Ovis aries: one gene and its partner. Each later gene encodes a partner of the first gene's protein in a complex. Links are inferred from orthologs where the notes say so. Each region holds a gene or a part of one and is shown in the gene's direction. Other genes may lie near its edges.

Region 1 (3,511 bases):
GTTAAATTCTTTTGGGAGCATCATTTGGTGAATGATAAAGTTTATGTAAGTACCCATTGATATTCTTTCCTGATTTATATTGCAGTCTTAAGTCACTCATATTTCAAAGCTACAGGCAGACCAAGGAAAGGAATCTCGTTCATGGTTCTGAAAAGACCAGTAGACCTGCTAAAATAAAAGGCAGATTTTGAATGACCTTGGGTAAACACACACAAGGTAACAAACCCTCCATAGAAAGGCCGCCCTGCTGACAGTTGCCTTGCAGGGATACAGATACAGTGTGGCTCTCAGCTGTAAGCTGTCGGGGTGTGGTTCTGCCCTCAGCTCGTTACTTAGTGAAAACCTCCTGAAAGGAGCAGTGAAACAGAATATCCAGAGAGCATGCATTTTGTGCGGCACAGAAACGGCCTTCCTGCCTTAGGCAGGACAGCGGGTGTGCTCCGAGCTATCTGTAGGTGTAATTGCGTCTAGATGGTTATTGAATCATCAGGACCGCATCCCATACACTAGTGGGTAACGGTCGGATAGCAGATGATCCTTGACGTCCAGGAGCAGGGTGCTGGTCTGTTCTCTGTGTTGTGCACGCGGCAGCCTCAGTCTGGAAGCCTGCCGCCCTGGAAACCCTGCGGTCAGCTTTGTACCTGAGCTGTTTGAAGGTGTTAAGTGGACCAGGCCCACTCAGAGAATCATCACGCTGGGTCACCCCAGTCACAGGCCAGGAGGCTGAGGCCCAGGGAGGTGGCTGGCTTTTGCATGGGTCGTGGCCCCTTCTGACCATCACGTGGTCAGAGTAAACATGAGCGTAACTCCCGTCTCTGGTGCCCTGGCCGGTCGCCCTTGCTCCAACCTCGTCCTGAAGTCCGAGCACGTCCTCTCCCATCTCTGCCGGGTTCCCTGGCTTCAGCCCGCCTCTTGGACAAACGTCCTCTCCGAGTCAGTCAGCTACCCCGCGTCTCTTCTAGAAGACTTGCTATCTTAAGCCTCACGTTCTGGGGGCTGTGGGCTGTGACAATCGGGTTCTAACTCACAGGAAGTAAGAGCAAAGTCATGGCATACCATAAGGACATTCCTGCAGGGCGGGGGTCCAAGCTTCTCCTGTGAAAGGACCTGTGGGTCCACCACGGTTTCCTGGTGGCGGAGTCCGGGCTCCATGGTGTGAGGCTGGAGGGAAAATAAGCACCTTCCTTCTCTCTCTCCTTCCCCTCCACCCTGCCTGCCAGAATTCATGGATCCCAGTGGGATCACTTCTCTCCAGGGGCAAAGCCGACAGGGGACCACCCGGCCACGCTTTTAGCTCCTTTAGGGGTGTGACTGCAGAGGGAAGGTCAGCACCCAGAGCAGGTTTAGGACGCACTTGATTCTGTGAAAATGTACAGGAAATTCCCTCTGTCAGTGCATGAGCTAGGGTGCTGGGCTCCTGTCTGTTGTGACCAGCGCCTCTGCTCCTTCCCTTCTCCCCTGTTGTGACCAGCGCCTCTGCTCCTTCCCTTCTCCCCTGTTGTGACCAGCGCCTCTGCTTCCTTCCCTTCTCCTAGACCGCGCAGACGGTGCTGGTGGTGGTGGTGGTCTTCGGGATCTCCTGGTTGCCCCACCACGTCATCCATCTCTGGGCTGAGTTTGGGGTGTTCCCGCTGACCCCCGCCTCCTTCTTCTTCAGGATCACTGCCCACTGCCTGGCCTACAGCAACTCCTCCGTGAACCCCATCATTTACGCCTTTCTCTCCGAAAACTTCAGGAAGGCTTATAAGCAAGTGTTCAAGTGCCAAGCCCGCAAGGAGTCACCTCTTAATGACACTAAAGAAAATAAAAGTCGACTAGACACCCCACCATCAACCAATTGTACTCACGTGTGAAAAAAGAGTATTATTTCAAAATGTGGTATTTGGATGCACGTGGACCAGACACAGAGAAATACATTGGGGTGTTAAGCAAGGCAGTAACTTGCTGTCTTAACAACAATTCATATTATAGTGATTGAATTCCACTTGTGTTTAAAAAGTACTTTGATCTACCTGGAAAATCCCTAGGTCTCGTGAAGGCCATTTCTACACTTGATCTTAGCCAAAAGGCCGAGAAGCGATGTGAAGGCCATTTCTAAATTTTATTTCTAAATTCTATTCCATAAGCAAAAAAGAGTAATATAGTTTTATACATCTTGAGAAATGAAAGTTTCTCAAGAAACTTTATTTAAAGACTGTAAAGAGTCTATAATTGGACTCTCTAGATCTGTATTCTTTGTAGGATAAGGAAGAAGGGCCTATCAAGGTGGTCAGGAATATTTGTGATCTACATTGTTTTGAAACAGATGTAATTAGAAAACACATGCTTTTGTTCTAATTGTAAGATCAGTGGTAATGCTGAAACTATATGTGTTTCAGATACGATTGTGGACACTTGATCCTGAGTTTTATTTTTGTGGCCGTTTGTATTAAGACATATCCATCTGATGGAAATAAGCTTATTTGCACATTTGCTGCATCTGCTCCCAGCTGTAAACAGTGCATGGGGCTTCTGCAACGTGCTGTGTCCGTCTGCAGTCATGAGGTCATAAGCTTATCTCAGGCAGTCAGCAGCATGACCCTGGGGCATCCAGCCATCAGGATGTCAGTGAAAAACTACGCTGTGAACTTAGTCTTCGTTGAGATGACCAAAAAAATCAGGGAAAACCACCACCTGCGACTGTTCTCATGGTGGAAGCTGTGAATGAGTTTCTGAGAATGAAACTGGACATTAAAAGTTTACATATCGACACACACATATATGTATTTTCAGGTATTAGCTGTGCCTTGAGTGGAATCTACTCAAAAGGAGAATTTTTAAACTGTCAGTGAAAATGATGTACAGAAAATAATTTCTATGAATTCAGAATAATTTCTCTGAATTATAAGCCACATGAGACAATGGTCACGCCATGTGAGGAAAGTTAGTAAGTGTAGTGAAATGTCTGGTTCAGATAAACTCTGAAAAAATAATCTAATGGTTGGACATAGCTGGGCATATCATGTACAAACAAATGCTTTTTTCATCAAATTTGTAATGATGTCTAATGCATATTTATCCCAAACATTGATCCCTCTAGAAATGTTAATCTGGGGTTCAAATCATCATAACTTAATTTCAAATGTAGTTTTTTGTGACAGTTTCAAATTTAATAATGAGAAAATGGTATGAAAAGATGAAATGATTCTATATTAGTAAATAATTTTCAGACTGCAAGACTGATGTATTTTAGCATGATACAAAAGCAAGAAAAAATTTTTAAAAGAATTTTGTGTAATGCATACCTGAGTCATATGAGGACTTCAAGTGAAATATCAAATTTTGGATCAAAAAGATCAACTCAGTGTAAGTCTGCATGTTAGCTTCTCTAGTTTGTGAATTTATTTTACTAACTATATTCTTCCAGCTAACCGTATTTACATTTACCAAGTTATAAATAGTTCTCTGGACAGAAGAGGAGAAAATTGTCAGAGGATGGAAAATCATGACTTTTCATGTTTGATGGCCAGGG
Region 2 (4,002 bases), on another chromosome or scaffold:
CAGATTTTCTCCTGATGGCTTCCTCCTTCCTCAGAAGCCTGGAGGCACCCAGCCTGTGTGTCCCCAGCTGTCTTTGCAAGCAAGGCCTGGCCCAAGCTAAGGCGCACCCTGCAGTCAGCCACCGACAGCCCGTTCCCAGGGGACTCTGGCCGCCTGTCCAGGGCAGCCGCACCCTGCTGTCCGCTGCCCACCCACCCAGCCCTTGGCCGCCTCTGGGAACCTTGGCGGGTCTGGTTCCAGGCCCTTAAAGCCTCAACCACTACCTGACCCTGCTCCCAAGAGCGCTGCCTAGTCCCGAAGGGCTGCAGGTACCCCTTCCCGCCCAGCAGCGCAGTGGAATGGAGAGGGGCGCCCACAGCCCTCAGGCCGAGAGCCGACCAGCCAGCAGACCCACAGCCTAAGTGCGCTTGCGGATCCGCCCCCTTTTAGAAAAAGAGGAGGGGCTTCCAGGTGGGGCTAGTGGTAAAGAACCCACTTGCCAATGCGGGAGACAGGTTCGATCCCTGGGTCGGGAAGATCCCCTGGAGAAGAGGGTGGCTACCCAATCCAGTCTTCTTGCTTGGGAAATCCCACCGACAGAGGAGCCTGGCGGGCCACAGTCCATGGGGTCGCAAAGAGTCGGACATGACTGAAGCGACTTAGCCCACCCCAGGGAAAGGGGCCTGGGGTCTGGGTAGGGAGGGCCACTGGGCACGGGAGGAGGAAGCTGGGCGGGCTTCAGGCTGCTGTCCTTCCCCTGTGGATGGTTCTCGAGGCTGAACTCATAATCCTGCCGCTACAACAGGGTGCCTGGTCGGCGGTGCCCAGGACTCCGCGATCGCGCCCAGCTCAGAGTGAGGGCTTTCGGCTGCGGAGCTCCCTGCGCAGGGGCCGCTGTGCCTGGCTCGGGGGTCGCGCCAACAGGCGTGGGGTCTCCGCCGCGGGCTGGGGGCTCTCCATTCGCGGCGATGGGGGCTCTCCCGCCAGGTGCGGGGGGGCGCTTCTCGCCATCCCCGCCAGCCCCACTCGCAAGGCAGGACCACCGCGCGCCCCGCCGCCCCCGCGGGCGCTCCGAGGCCCCCCGGGGACTGAGTTCCGGTCACTCCCGCCCACTCGGGCCGGCGAGGGCGCAGGAGGCGGGAGCGGAGCCCGTGACGCGGCCGAGCGGCTCCGGGATGCGCCGCATAAATAGCGGCGGCGGCGGCTCCCGGCGCGGACACGTCGAGGGAGCCCGGCCGCCCTGCGCTTCCCGCCTCCGCGTCCCGAGGCCGCGCCATGCGGTGAGCGTCCCGGCCCTGCCCCACCCGACTCGACGGACGCGCGGCCCCGCCGACACAGGACCTGCAGACACCCCAGCACCCGCAGACATCCCCCGACCCTCCGGGCCCCGCTCAAGGTACCGCGCCCCCGAGCTCACCCCACTCTTTCTCCTCGTTCCCCTCTCCAGAGTGCGCGCCTGCCGGTGGACCCCCCCCGGGGCTGGCGCGGCGCCTCCGCCCTGGCCGGGCTCTCTCCTGGGCCCCTGGCTCCTGGCTGCTCCTCCTGCACCCGCAGGGGTGGGGGTGGGGGTCCGGAGCCCCAGGCCGACGTGCGCCCTGGGGAAGGAGGCCGGTCTCCCCGCGCCGCCGCCCACCGCCCCTTCCCTTGCAGATGCCCAGAGGCTCCATCCTCCTGCTCGCCTCCCTGCTCCTCGCTGCGGCCCTTTCAGCCACCCTGGGCCTCGGGTCACCGGTAAGCGCAGGGCGGGGGCAAACGCCCCCCAAGCCGAGTCTCCTTCTCGGCAAAGGGGGCGACCGCATCAGAACCAGACTGGGGGTGGGGGTGGGGGTGAGGTGAGTGCCTTGTGCCAGGAACAGAGCCATCGATTCTGCCTCGGGGTGGGAGGGGGTGTGGGGGCTTCGGAAAACTGGGGAGTGGGGCGGGGGGCGGGCGGCGCCGGGAGGGGCCCGAGTCCTCAAAGCAGATGGGTGGCGGGCTCGGATCCTCCAGGGCCACTAAATGGGGACCCTGCGAACCGGCGGTTAGCGCCTCAAACCAGTGAGGGGTGAACCCCATTTGGTTAAGTTCAGTAGAGCGTCAGTTACCCCGTTTGCCAGCTGGTTTTAGCAACACGTGTCTTCAGCATCATTTAAAGCCAGTGGGTGCACTCTGAGTCTGTGGTCTGCAGCTCTAAAGGGATTCTTGGACAAGGCAGGCATTGCTGTTCTCCTGTCGAGCGTAGCTTACTGGGGTGCAAGTGTGGAATGTCTTGCAGTTTCCCAAAGTACATGCATTATTCTGATTCCTGTATCCTGCCTGGAAAGTCTGGGTGAATTTCACTTAATGTCTTTCTGATTTCATTTAAAGCTCTTGCTTCAACAGTTTGCCTCTCTCAGCTTATTCTGTGAGAGTCGAGTCTTTGTCATTGAAGCCGTGTGGCTATTTGAAGTAGATGCTGACTTCACAGGCTGCCGTGGTGGGTTATATGAGCAGAAGCTGCCGCTGGGGGCTTCTTTGAGCCATCGTGGCCTGTACCAGGCAGGATGCTTGCCCTCTGACCCCTGCCCTCCCGTTTAAGGTGAAGGAGAAGAGAGGCTGGACCCTGAACAGTGCCGGCTACCTTCTCGGACCACGTGAGTGAAACCGGGCCGGCATCTCGGGCAAACCTGCTCTGGTCGGGCTGGCTGCGGCGCTGGTGCTGACCCTGCTCTTCCTGAAACGTTGGGGTCGCCGGTCATTGCTCCGAGCCCTTGCTTTTCCAAGTCAGATAAAGGGACAGGGGAGTTTTCCCTGAGACTTCGAGGCAGGGTGGGTTTTTCTGTAGGTTTAACTGAAGGGACTGACCCAGGCCCTTCCGAGGCCTCGCCTTCCTCTGGGATTCCCAGCCTCAGCCCCTGTTCAGGCCTCCCCGGGGGAGCGTCTCGGAAGGCAGACGCTCCTTGGGGCCCTGTTCTGGGCCCTGTCTCGGGTCCCTCTGTCTCTCCCTGAATGCTCCCGTCCATCCTTGACCTGAAGAGGCCAAAACATGCTCGTGCCAAGACTGAGCGTCGATGGCTCTCTTTCTGCTCCGACTCTGCTCCTGGAGCCGTCACGCAGGGTGGCTGACCCTTGGGGTCTTATCTTTGATGGGACATCGTCTGCACTTGGTGTGAGTAATTTCACTCCGTTCAGGATGCAGAACTCCAGTGAGTGTAGACTAGTGGCGCCCGTCAGAGAGTCCTAGTTCGACCGCTGCATTTACGGGCAAGCACATGGACCCCGGGGCTCAGTGACCGGCTCGATGCCGTGGAATTCCTCCGTGGGCACAGGAAGTGGCGGAGGTGGGAAGTGGCTCGCCTCCAGGCGCTAAAGGGGACGCTGCGGACCCCAGGCTGCATGCCGCCCACCCCCACTCTGCTTCCTGCACGTCCTCTGTCCGCAGTGACCCCTTCAGGTTTTGACCTCAAGGAGGGGTGAGGGGAGACCTTTCACTTCCCATGTCACCCCACCCCTACTTTCAAACTTGCAGGCATGGTTTCACTGGGGACAGCCATCAGCCTTGAAGAAACCCCTCCTCTGTTTATTTCCTGTTTTCCCACAGGAAAGGAGGCAAACAGCAAATAGCTCTTGTCCCAGTCTCTCCAGAGTCACTGGGAAGAGCCATCCCCATTTAAACGATCCTGGGAAGCTGCTTTTAGTTTTTAACCCTCGAGTTTAAGTACAGACTCTTCTTCCACTTCACATGGTTATTTATCTGATCTGCAGGGTCCCTGAGAGCCGGGCTTTGAGAAACGCAGAGACAGAAATGAAAACAAGGCGGGCCACAGGCAGGGTCCCCTGGGCATCTCTGGTCTCAGAACAAAAGCCGCGGCCAGTCCTCAGGGGTCTGGGCACTGTGGGTGGAGTGGCCTTGCCTGCCGGACACCGACTCACGAGTTTTCCTGAGCCCTCTGCAGCCCGGAGTCCCTTCCTCCCAAGAGAGCACCTCATCTCCGGTGCTTCTGGCCCCATAGAAAGGAGGAGCCCGTGTTGAAAATGTGTTTATCAAGGGCATCTGGGACTCCC

Evidence for each region. Proteins that work in one complex are often made in the same cells at the same time.
Region 2: the proteins of GALR1 (region 1) and GAL are in contact, whole or in part, in a cryo-EM structure (PDB 7WQ3), measured with the Homo sapiens proteins. The link is inferred for Ovis aries from reciprocal best matches to the Homo sapiens genes GALR1 and GAL. Residues at the interface, in NP_001471.2 of Homo sapiens: Glu32, Gln92, Thr94, Val95, Tyr96, Leu98, Pro99, Thr100, His112, Gln174, Phe177, Arg180, Gln184, Phe186, Cys187, Trp188, Glu189, Gln190, Ile266, His267, Ala270, Phe275, Leu277, Ser281, Phe282, Arg285; in NP_057057.2 of Homo sapiens: Gly33, Trp34, Leu36, Asn37, Ser38, Gly40, Tyr41, Leu42, Leu43, Gly44, Pro45, Val48.

What each region holds. Positions count from the first base shown.
Region 1 is NC_056076.1:2,338,487-2,341,997, reverse strand, and holds part of GALR1 (galanin receptor type 1), read left to right. Parts: intron 1-1,535; coding exon 1,536-1,853; 3' UTR 1,854-3,511. UniProt on the Homo sapiens protein: Receptor for the hormone galanin. The activity of this receptor is mediated by G proteins that inhibit adenylate cyclase activity.
Region 2 is NC_056074.1:42,492,034-42,496,035, forward strand, and holds the start of GAL (galanin), read left to right. Parts: upstream 1-1,191; 5' UTR 1,192-1,375; intron 1,376-1,629; coding exon 1,630-1,710; intron 1,711-2,536; coding exon 2,537-2,591; intron 2,592-4,002. UniProt on the Homo sapiens protein: Endocrine hormone of the central and peripheral nervous systems that binds and activates the G protein-coupled receptors GALR1, GALR2, and GALR3.